Linked DNA regions of Caenorhabditis elegans. The protein of the gene in region 3 binds, or shares a complex with, the protein of the main gene of each other region. Each region holds a gene or a part of one and is shown on either strand. Other genes may lie near its edges.

Region 1 (3,231 bases), on a different chromosome or scaffold from region 3:
ATCGACTCATCTTATATTGATCTTCACGATGAAAACAATTTTCGTACATCGTCTTCGCTTTCGACAGCCTCAACAACATCCTCATTCCAGCGACGTATTCTTCCTGGAGCCAAATTCTTTGTGCATGTCGTTTGGGGTGAAGAAACCATGCGAACCAGACTTCGATTGTTAATTTGAATACAGATGAAATGGTATTACATTTGAAATTATTTAGGCTAGAAGTTCGCACAGGACAGCATCAACTAATCGATGGTCATGACTTCACATCTTTCCAATTTTCCGATGAAGAAGTTCTTCGTGCTGTTCCAGTTGGATTCCCCGCTATCAAGCCCGAGGACCGTGATCTGTTCGCTGCTTCTTATCGTAGTTTCTTCATCAATTTTTTCACTTCTACAACTGAATTCCGTGCTGCTACAAGCCGGAAGAAGAAAGAGATATGCAGCAACGACGACTCTACTCTACTCGAGACAACAGCTTTCCGTAATCAGACATTTGTCAACGACGTTACAATTGTTCCCAATACAAGATTTTCGAATAGAAAGTAAAATCTTAACCTAACTTTCCAAATATTCTCTGATTTCTGTCCAGGCTTCGAAAAAATTCACGGTTCTGTAAAATGTAGGTTTCAATTTCAATAAAGTGGTGATGAAGTTTTATTTGATTTACATTTTTTATGTTTATTTTTCTTTCTTTGAAACGGTAGAAGTTGTGGAATTCTTTTCGGCTGTGTCAGCATCCGGTTTCTTCATCGTTTCCTCATCATCTTCATCCTCTGTGTCCTTTTGTCGAATATCAGCTTCATCTTCAGATTCTTCAAGCTCTTGTCCCTCATCAGGCATCATACACAAACGATGCCGTTTCCGAAGATAAAACTGCCATTGGAGAACCACTTGATCTTCTACGAATTTCGCGCTTGGTCCTGAAAATAAGTTACTATTCTTCTGATAGATTAAATAAAATTTGAACTACCGTAAGCCATCGAATCGCGAAATTGCTGACTCTGCAGTGCTTCAAGCATGTGCAGACATTGAGGAAATTTCAAGCATCTGGCATATTGAGGATCTTTCCAATAGAGAAGATATTTGAGATAGTTGACAAAATATTCTTCTTTGAAATAACCACGTTGCGCGAGAACTGGAAAATATGAAATTTGCAGGAAAAAGAGTGCATAAAAAAACAAGAAACTTAGAATAAAAATACGTTTTTCTCTATTCTCGGCTAGTGTATGTGAATAAACTCACAATTAAGATAATTTGGATTTGCAAGAGCCTGCACGAATTCACATTCAACTTCAAATCTCGTCTTTTCACTTTCTACACTCTCCATCTGCATTGTATTGTAGCCTGAAGAAAAAAAAATGGAATTCAAGCTTCGAAAAATTACAGAAATTTACAAAATTTTGATATTATGACCTTTTTTCACCTATACGGTGAAATCCGTACTACGAAATGAGTTAAATATATTATTCCAATGGAAACATACCGTATCGATTGAAACTAAAACGACCCATGCCTATAAAACCATTTTATTAGAAAAAGAAAAACAAATTTAACAGATGGTGTTCATAAAGAGCTGAGATTGTTAATAAAACAAAAGTGAAATAATCTTAGGAGATCAACTTTTAATGGGTTCAGTTTAAAAAAGTGATGTAAAACTGCACAGGAGAGGATGACATAGAGTTGGGTAAAATAGTTATATTGTTCAATAATAGAATATTCAATCTAACTCCACTTTGAGCGAAATATTACTCTCCGTATCGATCGAGACGTGACTTGGAGTGGGTGTACCTGCAGATGAACGCGGTGGACGAGCAGGACGCGCTGCAACTGTCGCAACGGTCTGAAAAATATACTGTTTCATTGAGGACTATGAGAAAAATATAGATAATAGTACCGCAAGGATTACTAGGGGTAAAAGTTTAATTTTAGTGTCACATCTCACCTCTCCAATCTTCCTTTTCATTCTGATTTTCTTCGCAGAATTCTTGTCCAGATTAGCCAACAACTCGGTGGTATCGATTTTCATGCCGTTCTGAAAAAAAACAACGTCTAGCAGTGGAGACAACGCAAAAAACTTTACATTTAGTTCTCTAGAGATTGAAGTTGGAGTAACATAGATCTCGTCATCAGGCATCCGGCGTCGTCTTATTTGGTCACAGGTAACTTGTTGTTCTTCATCGCAGGCGCGTTCCTCTGCAAGACAGCGCACAAGCCGCTTGGTTTCATCAGACGACGATTCACGAGCAATTCCAAGACGCATTGGTTCGAGAAGAATCGAACGCATTCGAGCCTGAAAAATTATCAAAAATAAAAATAAGAATATAATATATTCACTTACATAAAAATTCGCATACTCTTTACTATTGGTGACCTCATCAGACAACCCGATATGCATACGTCTGTCTCCGTCGAGGCCCTCTCTCTCGTCGTTTTTGAAGTTGAATTGTTGAGCCAGAGAGACATCAAGAGGGTAAAAGTGTTCAGCAGAAAGACGATTCAATCCAGAACGGGCTTTTTGAAGCATTTTGTGAAGATCGAATGATGCAGCAGTCGGAGGAAGAGTTGACTTGGCTGGGCAATGTACATCATTTTGATTGCATGACTTTGAGTTAACATGTAAATACCATTCAGCGACTTCTTTTGACTTGTTTATGACCATCTGTGAGAATTTTAATGTGAATTTTCATTAAACTTTATTTTCTCTATTCTGACTCACATTCTCCACAAATCTTTTAGCGTATTTCGGCGCTGTGAAGCGATGTTCATTCCAAAACTTAGTGCCCCATTCTTTTACGTCGTGAGCACGAATTACAGAGCACAACGACTCCACAATGACCATTTGCTTTTCATCTTCAGCATCATTTGGATCAAATGTTGGCATTGTTTCTGGATCCAAATCGATCTTAATCGGACGAACACGACATCCGATTTGATCCACGTTCTGAACATTTTTCAATGGGTTAATATTCTGTACAATTAATTTACCTTTCTAAACTGTCGAGCCTCGTAGTAACGCGTCAAAGTCTTGCTTCTTTCTATCATGTAACGAACATCACTGAAAAACAAAATGTAATTAAAATATGGTGTTTTTTTTTTGGTTTTCAACTAACACTTCCGTGATTGTGAGCGATGAGAGAATTTCACTGGAGTGTAGTTCTTTGTCGATTTCGGCTGCATTTTTGTGCTTTTGAACAATTTCGTTGATTTTATCTTGGATTTTTTGATAATCCGG
Region 2 (3,755 bases), on a different chromosome or scaffold from region 3:
AAACTTCTCAAAAAAAAGTTATGGCCTCTCGAAAATGGCCTAAAATTAGTGAAAATTTGAAATTTGACCAACTTAAATATCTTTGTCGCAGCAGCTGGAAACAAATTTTTTTTTGAAACTGTCGTCTATTTTTGAGTAAACAAGTAGATTATCTTGCGTTTTCAGTTTTATTAAGGTATTTAAAAGTCGATGGACGAAGAGATTTTTCAAATTTTTTTAATCAATTCTCTTCGTCCATCGACTTTAAATACCATAATAAAGCTTAAAACGCAAGATAATCTACTTGTTTACTCAAAAATAGACGACAATTTCAAAAAAAAATTGTTTCCAGCCGCTGCGACAATGATAAGTTGGTCAACTTCAAATTTTCACTAATTTTAGGTCATTTTTTGAGCGTCATAATTTTTTTTGGAAAAGTTTTCAAGAAGTTTCATTATCAAATTCGGTGTTTTCAGACAATTTTGAGTCTAATAAAGAAATAAAAAACTCAACTACACCACCTTTAAATCAAAATTTCACAAAAAATGGTTTTTTTCTAGAATGTTCCTCCGCGCCACTGAATCAATTCTCGGTTTGGGCCTTCTGGCTTACGGCCTTCTCGAAATCTCGAGAAATCCGACCTGGTGGGCCTATACGCCGGTCTACTTGGTCCCGGCGATCCTCTCCATCATTCAAATTCCACGGAACGCCACGTGGCGCACTCTCTCATCCCTCTCCATCGTCGCCGGCGGTCTCTACACGAGTTTTCTGCTGTGGACGTTCTCCTCTGTGGAATCTATACCGACGATCGATTTGGAAGAAGAAGCCAAGAACCTTCCGCCGGTAATATATTATTGATTTTTATTCTTAAATGATTCAATAAAAATCGTTCCAGGTAGCCCTTGGAGCCCTGCTGATCAGCTTCATCCGTCTCACACAGGATAAGATCTCCCAGCCGGTGCATTATGTCAGATCTTCGATTATTCTCGCTGTCGCTCTCATTAGTTTTTACGCTTTTATTTCATATTTTTAGTTTTCTTTTCCTCTGAAAAATAAATATTATTAGCTTTACAATGTAATTTCCTTCGGAAGTGAGGACAAAATCGCGGTTATCGAATCGCGAAGCTTCGAGAATTCTCCATTTTTCATTAGAGCTAGAGCTCCTGGAGCATCAGTGAGCGGTTGACCGAAATAACCGATTTTGCAGGTACTAATCTGAAAGATAGCTTTATTGTTTTGGTAAAATCCCGTATTCAACGCACTTGATCCTCTGCAACACCAATGTCGATTGTTACATCAGGATTTCTGATTGAAAATCCACTATTTTGAGTTGAAAACACGCAATGTTCTCTGAAAAAAAAATTATTTATAAAATTTTTAATTTAAAAAAAATTTAAAAAAGCACTCACCCTAGGCCTTCAGATAATTGTTGAACTTTTCGAGCAATAGTAGCATCATTATCAATTGGTAAATGCTCTTTCATAAAAACCAGAGAGCCAAGAACGTCGAGACGGGTTCGTGCATCGAGTGTTTGCCTTTTCTCCTGAAAATTTGATTTTTTTTTCAATGAAAAACGGTGGAGATTGCAGTTACCAGCAAATTCCTCCTGACAGATCTCGCAAAATGCTCCCATCCCAGCTTTTCTGCGCTTTGGCGGACATTTTCCATTCGCAAATCTCGATCGATCGACTCCAGGTTTAACTCATGATTTTTCCTCTCTTCAATTATCATGGTAGGTTTCGCTACCTGAAAATCGATAAATATTTAATTATTTGCTGTTTAATAATATAAAAATTGAGAAATTTTAACGAGAAACCCATTAAAAATGCAGTTTAAAATAGAAAATCGGTGCAAAAAATATTTTGTTTTGCTGCGAACGACACTCCGTTATAACGCGGCGCGTGTTGTTTAGCAGGCGGATTTTAGGCCACAGCCACTGGCATCAATTGGCGGGTGTTTGAATTTAGATAATTCGTCTCAGGGTTTAAAACCGGTTTTCTGCAGAAAAAATCGATTTTCAAGTTATATTTTATTAACAAAAATACATCATGTTTCATTAATAATCTACAAACAAAATCAATTTATTCATCATCCTCGTGGTGTCTGGTGCGGTGGCGGCGGAGAGTCTTGATATCTTGATCCCGTTGGGCCATTTGTTCAGCAGCCTGGTCACGGTCACGGCGGTATTCTTTGTAGTTCTGAAAAAGAGAAGGAAATGTGATTTTTAAAAAAAAACGTTGTTTGAGCTCAATTGAGAGGAAAGGTCTTGGCGCGAGCGTTGCAAAATTAAACGTGCGCACGGGGTTCTGGCCTTCCTCATTGAATTTTTCGCGCTCCATTGACAATCGCCTGCCGGAAAACACGTGGGAAAGTACTCCACACGGGCAAATACATTTAGTTTTACAACTAAAATCGAGCCGCGACGCGACACGCAACGCTCCGTAAATCTATGCCAGATATGGCCGAGCCTAAATGACCTAGTTCGGCAAACTCTTCCATTTCAATTTATGAGGGAAGCCAGAAATCCGTGGAAAAGATTAAAAAAAGGAGATTTTCAACTAAAAATACATGGTTTTTTTCTTTAAAAATTCGAAAAATCGATGGCCTAGTTTTTTTTGAGTCCTAGGCCACCTACCAAATACGCCTGGGGTCTCTGCCCATTGCTGGCGCGAACACAGTAGAACAAGTCGTGAAGGCAAGTTGGAAGATATGTCTGTTGAAGCCCAATGTTCACAATATTATCGGCTCTGAAAAAAAACAAGTTTTATTATTAATTTTAAAAAAATTTAAATTTACCTGTTATATGGATAATGTCCACCTTTTGCAAATTTATAATCATTCTCAAGCTGTGCCATACTTGCCGGCCGTCCGTCGAAGAATCCGAGATAAGTTGGTGGATAGTAATTCGGGTAGTACCAGTTACCGAACTGCCCGTAGTCTCTGGCGGTATTCTCATTATAGTAGATATACTTTGGCAGGACTCTCGGCGAGTTTTCGTAGGTCCTCTGGTAGAATGTGTCGGCGACCTGGCGGTTGGTGGTGTCCGCCAGTTTTCCCGGCCCGGGGCCTCCGCCGCTGAAATTGCAGTCCGCGACGAACTGAAAGTTGGGAAGGTTGCACATCATTTTTCGAGTCTCGCAGCGAATTATAACTTAGTCTTGACACGACAATTATCACGTGGTGTCAAAGTGCCCCAAATGCGGGAGAAGAGACGCAGACTTTTAAACTAATTTCGCATAGTTAAGAGTGTGCTGAGAGAAAAATTCCAGCATTTTTTGTAGATCAAACCGTCATGGGACAGCCTGACACCACGTGAATTATTGGTTAAATGGAAATGAACTGTGCGCCTTTAAAGATTACTGTAGTTTCACCGATTTCCCATAGATTTTCTCACGATTTTTCAAAGTTTAAGAGTTTTCATAATATATTTTTATCGAAAAAAAAATCGCTGGAAATTTAGCAACAAAAGTAGATTGTGTCGAGACCGGGTACCGTATTTTCGGTACAAAAATTGCAAGTTATTGCGACTAACTAATATTACAAAGCCGCAGAGAGTTGTCTGTTGAAGAGACGCATACATATCGGGACCCAAGGGGCGTGGCGCGGGAAGAGCCAAAATTGTGTAGATTTACGGAGATCCACCTTGTAAATTTACACGATCTTGGCTCCCCATATATCTGAGTTCCCTGTAAATACCACGCCCACAAAACTGTGCCCATCTGAGCTCAAAAATTCAGATTTCCCATATTTGTGTGACTCGTGGCAAAAATTGAATT
Region 3 (3,755 bases):
GAAAAAATTGAATTTTTGAGAGAAAAATTGATTTTTAGACGAATTTTTGGACTACAACGGGTTTTTTATCGAATTTTTGACGTTTTTAGTAGAAAAATTAATTTTTTAGTGGGAAATTTGATTTTTTGGCGATTTTTTGAAGTAAAACGCGTTTTTAATAGAATTTTTCGAAATTTTTAGAATTTCTAGCAGAAAAATCGAATTTTTGAGGGGAAAATTGGTTTTCAGGCGGGTTTTTTTCGAATTTTTTGAAATTTTTTGCATTTTTAGTAGAAAAAATTGAGTTTTAGACGAATTTTTGGACTAAAACGGGTTTTTTATCGAATTTTTGACGTTTTTAGTAGAAAAATTGAATTTTTGAGTGGGAGATTTGATTTTTTGGCGATTTTTTGAAGTAAAACGCGTTTTTAATAGAATTTTTCGAAATTTTGGGTATTTTTTAGCATAAACATTGAATTTTTGAGTGGAAAATTGACAAAATTCTGTTGTTTCTGCTGAAAAACTGGTTTTTTAAAAGAAAAATTGAATTTTTGATTAGAAAATTTGATTTTTAGGCCATTTTTTGGCCTAAGAAGAGGTTTTTATTCTAATTTTCTGTGATTTTTAGCGTTTTTAGCAGAAAAATTACATTTTAGACGGATTTTAGGACTAAAAAGGGGTATTTTATGAATATTTTCTGAACATTTCGGCGTTTTCCGCAGAAAAATTGAATTTTTTAGTGGAAAATTTGATTTTCAGGTGGATTTTTGGACTAAAACGCATTTTTGGTCGAATTTTTTACAATTTCTGGCGTTTTTAACAGAAAAATTGAATTTTTGAGGGTAAAATTGATTTAAGGCGATTTTTTGAAGTAAACCGGGTTTTTAATTAAATTTTCTTAAGTTTTTGGTTTTTTTAGCAAAAAAAAGATGAATTTTTGAGTGGAAAATTGATAAATTTTGGTTTTTTCTGTCGAAAATAGATTTTCAGGCAATTTTTTTGAAGTGAAAACGAGTTTTTTATCGAATTTTTGAAATTTTCGGCGTTTTTAGCGAAAAATCGAATTTTTCAGGTTAAAAATTGACAAAATCCGATTTTTCCACACAAAAAACGATTTTTAGACGAATATTAGGACTAAAACGGGTCTTTATGGGTATTTCCTGAACTTTTAACCGTTTTTAACAGAAAAATCGAATTTTTAAGTGGAAAATTTGATTTTTAGGCGATTTTTTGGACTAAAACGGGTTTTTTTCTGGTAAGTTGGGCGTTTTTAGTTTTTTTAATTAAATTTTTCTGAAAATTGGCCGTAATTTTTTTATTTTTGGCGTTTTTAGGAAAGCATCGAATTTTTGAGTGAAAAAGAGGCAAATTTTTCGAGTTTTTCGAGTTTTTCAGCTTAAAAATCGATTTTCAGGCGATTTTTTGGATTAATAAGCGGAAAATGAGCTGCAAGAGTGGAATTTCAAATTTTTTTGAGACAAAACTTGACTCAAAAACTGTTTTTTTTTTTTGGTTATTGAGGTGATTTTTAGAGTTTCTAGCTGAAAAATTTGGATTTCAGCGGTTTTTAAGTGAAAAATTGATGTTTTTTCCGGGTGTTTTTTCGGTTCAAAAGCCTATTTTTCACTAAATTTTCCAATTTTCAGCCGGATTTCCGCGTTTTTCTGCCAATTTTTTGCAATTTTTCCGTCGTAAAAACGCACAAACGATAGCTGTATTTTTCAGAAAGCTTGAGACGCTCAACGTAGTGTGTTCTTCAACTTTACACGCTAAAAATAATGCTGTAGAGGCTACGAGGAATGGGCACATGTCACGGAACGATTGCCTGAAAAATTCGACGTTTTTCCAGGTTTTTTATCATTTTTTTCCGAATAAACCTTAGATAAAATCGCTTAAAATAGATAATCGCAGTTGCAATAACCTGTTGACGGAGTTTACATCCAACATTTGCCTGTGAGTGGGCTCCTTCTGTGGCGACGGCGGTTATAACTGAAAAAAAACCAAAAATTATCGATTTTTTCGAGGAAAAAGTAAGGAAAAATTACAATTCGCCCAGAAAATATTCAATCGATTGTACTCTTCCTCGTTATAAATCTTCATATCCTCGGCGCGTTGCTTCCAAATCTCGGTTTTATCGAAAATCCATTGTTGGCTGGAAAAAATGGGATTTTTTTGGGTTTTTCAATGGGATTTACTTACCAATGACTGCTTTTCCAGAAATTTAAAGCCATTTTTCAACTAAAATCATTAAAAAAATGAAAAAATCGAGAAAAACAGTGGAAATTGAGTGAAATCGATGAAAATTCGAATAAATAAGAATAAATTCGGAGTGTGGATTTACGGTAAAGAACACGCGCCTGCGGGATTCCGGAGTGTCGTTGTATGTCTTTACGCGGTAGTTTAAATCGATTTTTTAAAGCTGGTGGATTATGGCTAGTTTAGAGGGGGTTTTGAAGTTTTTTTTTGTGAAAAATTCAACAAAACGTAGTCAAAATCCTTCTTCTGTGTTAAAATTCAAAAAATTCCATTAAAACCGAGACAAATCGAAATTTTTCTGCAAAGCCACAATAATTAATAATAATTTGGCTCATTTTTCAGAGTTTCTCATGAGTTTATGATTTTTGTGTCAAAATGCTTCCAATTTGCTTTAGGTTTATGTCAACTACATTTCACCCGTCTCCAATCCCTCTGACCACTTGAACTTTCACTTTTTCCCGAAACTAGGCGGAGTCTGGCGGGGGTGCTAGTGAAAACTATCCAATATGACACAGTCACCCATTTCTTGGATGAAAATCCGGCAATTTTGTTTGCAAAACTGAGCAGAAATCATCATTTGATAAGAAATTCGCACCTTTTTGACCTTTTTGACGCTGTAGTCACTGAGCAAATAGAAAAGTGGTACAAATTGGCTGGAAAAAGTCGTATAAAGGAGCTTTTTGGGGAGTTTTAAAGTGTGAAATTGGCTTTGTTAGGTGCTAATTAGTATATTGGAGATTTTAGGAAAAATTTAAAATTTTCGAAAAAAATTTTTTTTTTCGAAATTTTTTTTTCAGAAAATTTTTGTTCGAAATGTTTTTTTTTCAAATTTTCAGATTTCCAGCCAATTTCTTCGTCTATAAACATGTCCATCAATATGAATGCCAACTTTTTGAAGCTTCTCACCCATTTTCGGCGTCACGATTTGGTAAGTTGAATTTTTTCCCAAAAATTTGAAATTCCGACCTATTTTTGTTTAAGTCTTAATTAATGCAATAAAAATGCGAAGATTTTTCTTTGTTTTGTTTAAAAAAACATTTTTATAGCTTAAAAATGAGCAAAGTTATAGGATTTTTTCTAAAAATTTTTTATTCCAAAAAAAATTTTATTTTTTGAAATTTTCAACATTTTTTTAGTACGATTGTAACTTTTTATTTGAATAAAATATTTATCTACAATCTGCTTTAAAAATTATAAAAAAAATCTTAAAAATGAGAAAAGTTATGGTACTTTAAAAAAAAAAAAACTCAAAAAAATTTTTTCAAAAAAAAAATTTTTTTTTTTCAATTTTTTTTTAAAATTCCCCCCCAAAAGTACATTTATTTCTTATTAATGTTATTATGTACTATCACATCTTATCAGTACGAAACCCTTCGTGTTCTTCTGTTTTATTGAAACCAACGGAATATAAGGTGACGAAATGAATTTGACCTACTTTTTTCTGTTATTTGCGCCGCCGCCGAAAATTGGTGAAGAACAAATAATTATTGTGACCTTGTTAATGACAATGTCAATAATAG

Evidence for each region.
Region 1: cic-1 (region 3) and mdt-31 share a complex: the UniProt entries of both Caenorhabditis elegans proteins name them as parts of the mediator complex.
Region 2: cic-1 (region 3) and sop-3 share a complex: the UniProt entries of both Caenorhabditis elegans proteins name them as parts of the mediator complex.

The regions. Positions count from the first base shown.
Region 1 is NC_003279.8:8,964,409-8,967,639, reverse strand, and holds mdt-31 (Mediator of RNA polymerase II transcription subunit 31), read right to left. Parts: upstream 1,527-3,231; 5' UTR 1,511-1,526; coding exon 1,483-1,510; intron 1,344-1,482; coding exon 1,242-1,343; intron 1,135-1,241; coding exon 970-1,134; intron 920-969; coding exon 678-919; 3' UTR 639-677; downstream 1-638. Other genes in the region: spd-2 (Spindle-defective protein 2), read left to right, coding at 1-167, 215-545; snpc-4 (snRNA-activating protein complex subunit 4 homolog), read right to left, coding at 1,717-1,839, 1,894-2,031, 2,080-2,289, 2,338-2,658, 2,716-2,940, 2,985-3,054, 3,110-3,231. UniProt on the Caenorhabditis elegans protein: Component of the Mediator complex, a coactivator involved in the regulated transcription of nearly all RNA polymerase II-dependent genes.
Region 2 is NC_003279.8:2,774,373-2,778,127, forward strand, and holds the start of sop-3 (Mediator of RNA polymerase II transcription subunit 1.1), read right to left. Parts: upstream 1,730-3,755; 5' UTR 1,711-1,729; coding exon 1,573-1,710; intron 1,523-1,572; coding exon 1,389-1,522; intron 1,330-1,388; coding exon 1,242-1,329; intron 1,195-1,241; coding exon 1,052-1,194; intron 1,050-1,051; exon of another isoform or gene 1,013-1,049; coding exon of another isoform or gene 875-1,012; intron 823-874; coding exon of another isoform or gene 541-822; exon of another isoform or gene 540-540; intron 1-539. Other genes in the region: Y71F9B.1 (uncharacterized protein), read left to right, coding at 541-822, 875-1,012; Y71F9B.13 (NADH dehydrogenase [ubiquinone] 1 beta subcomplex subunit 7), read right to left, coding at 2,061-2,177, 2,615-2,726, 2,776-3,077. UniProt on the Caenorhabditis elegans protein: Component of the Mediator complex, a coactivator involved in the regulated transcription of nearly all RNA polymerase II-dependent genes.
Region 3 is NC_003281.10:2,398,999-2,402,753, forward strand, and holds the start of cic-1 (Cyclin-C), read right to left. Parts: upstream 2,224-3,755; 5' UTR 2,211-2,223; coding exon 2,179-2,210; intron 2,132-2,178; coding exon 2,025-2,131; intron 1,969-2,024; coding exon 1,857-1,968; intron 1,805-1,856; coding exon 1,683-1,804; intron 1-1,682. Other genes in the region: Sterol 4-C-methyltransferase strm-1, read left to right, coding at 3,101-3,163. UniProt on the Caenorhabditis elegans protein: Component of the Mediator complex, a coactivator involved in regulated gene transcription of nearly all RNA polymerase II-dependent genes.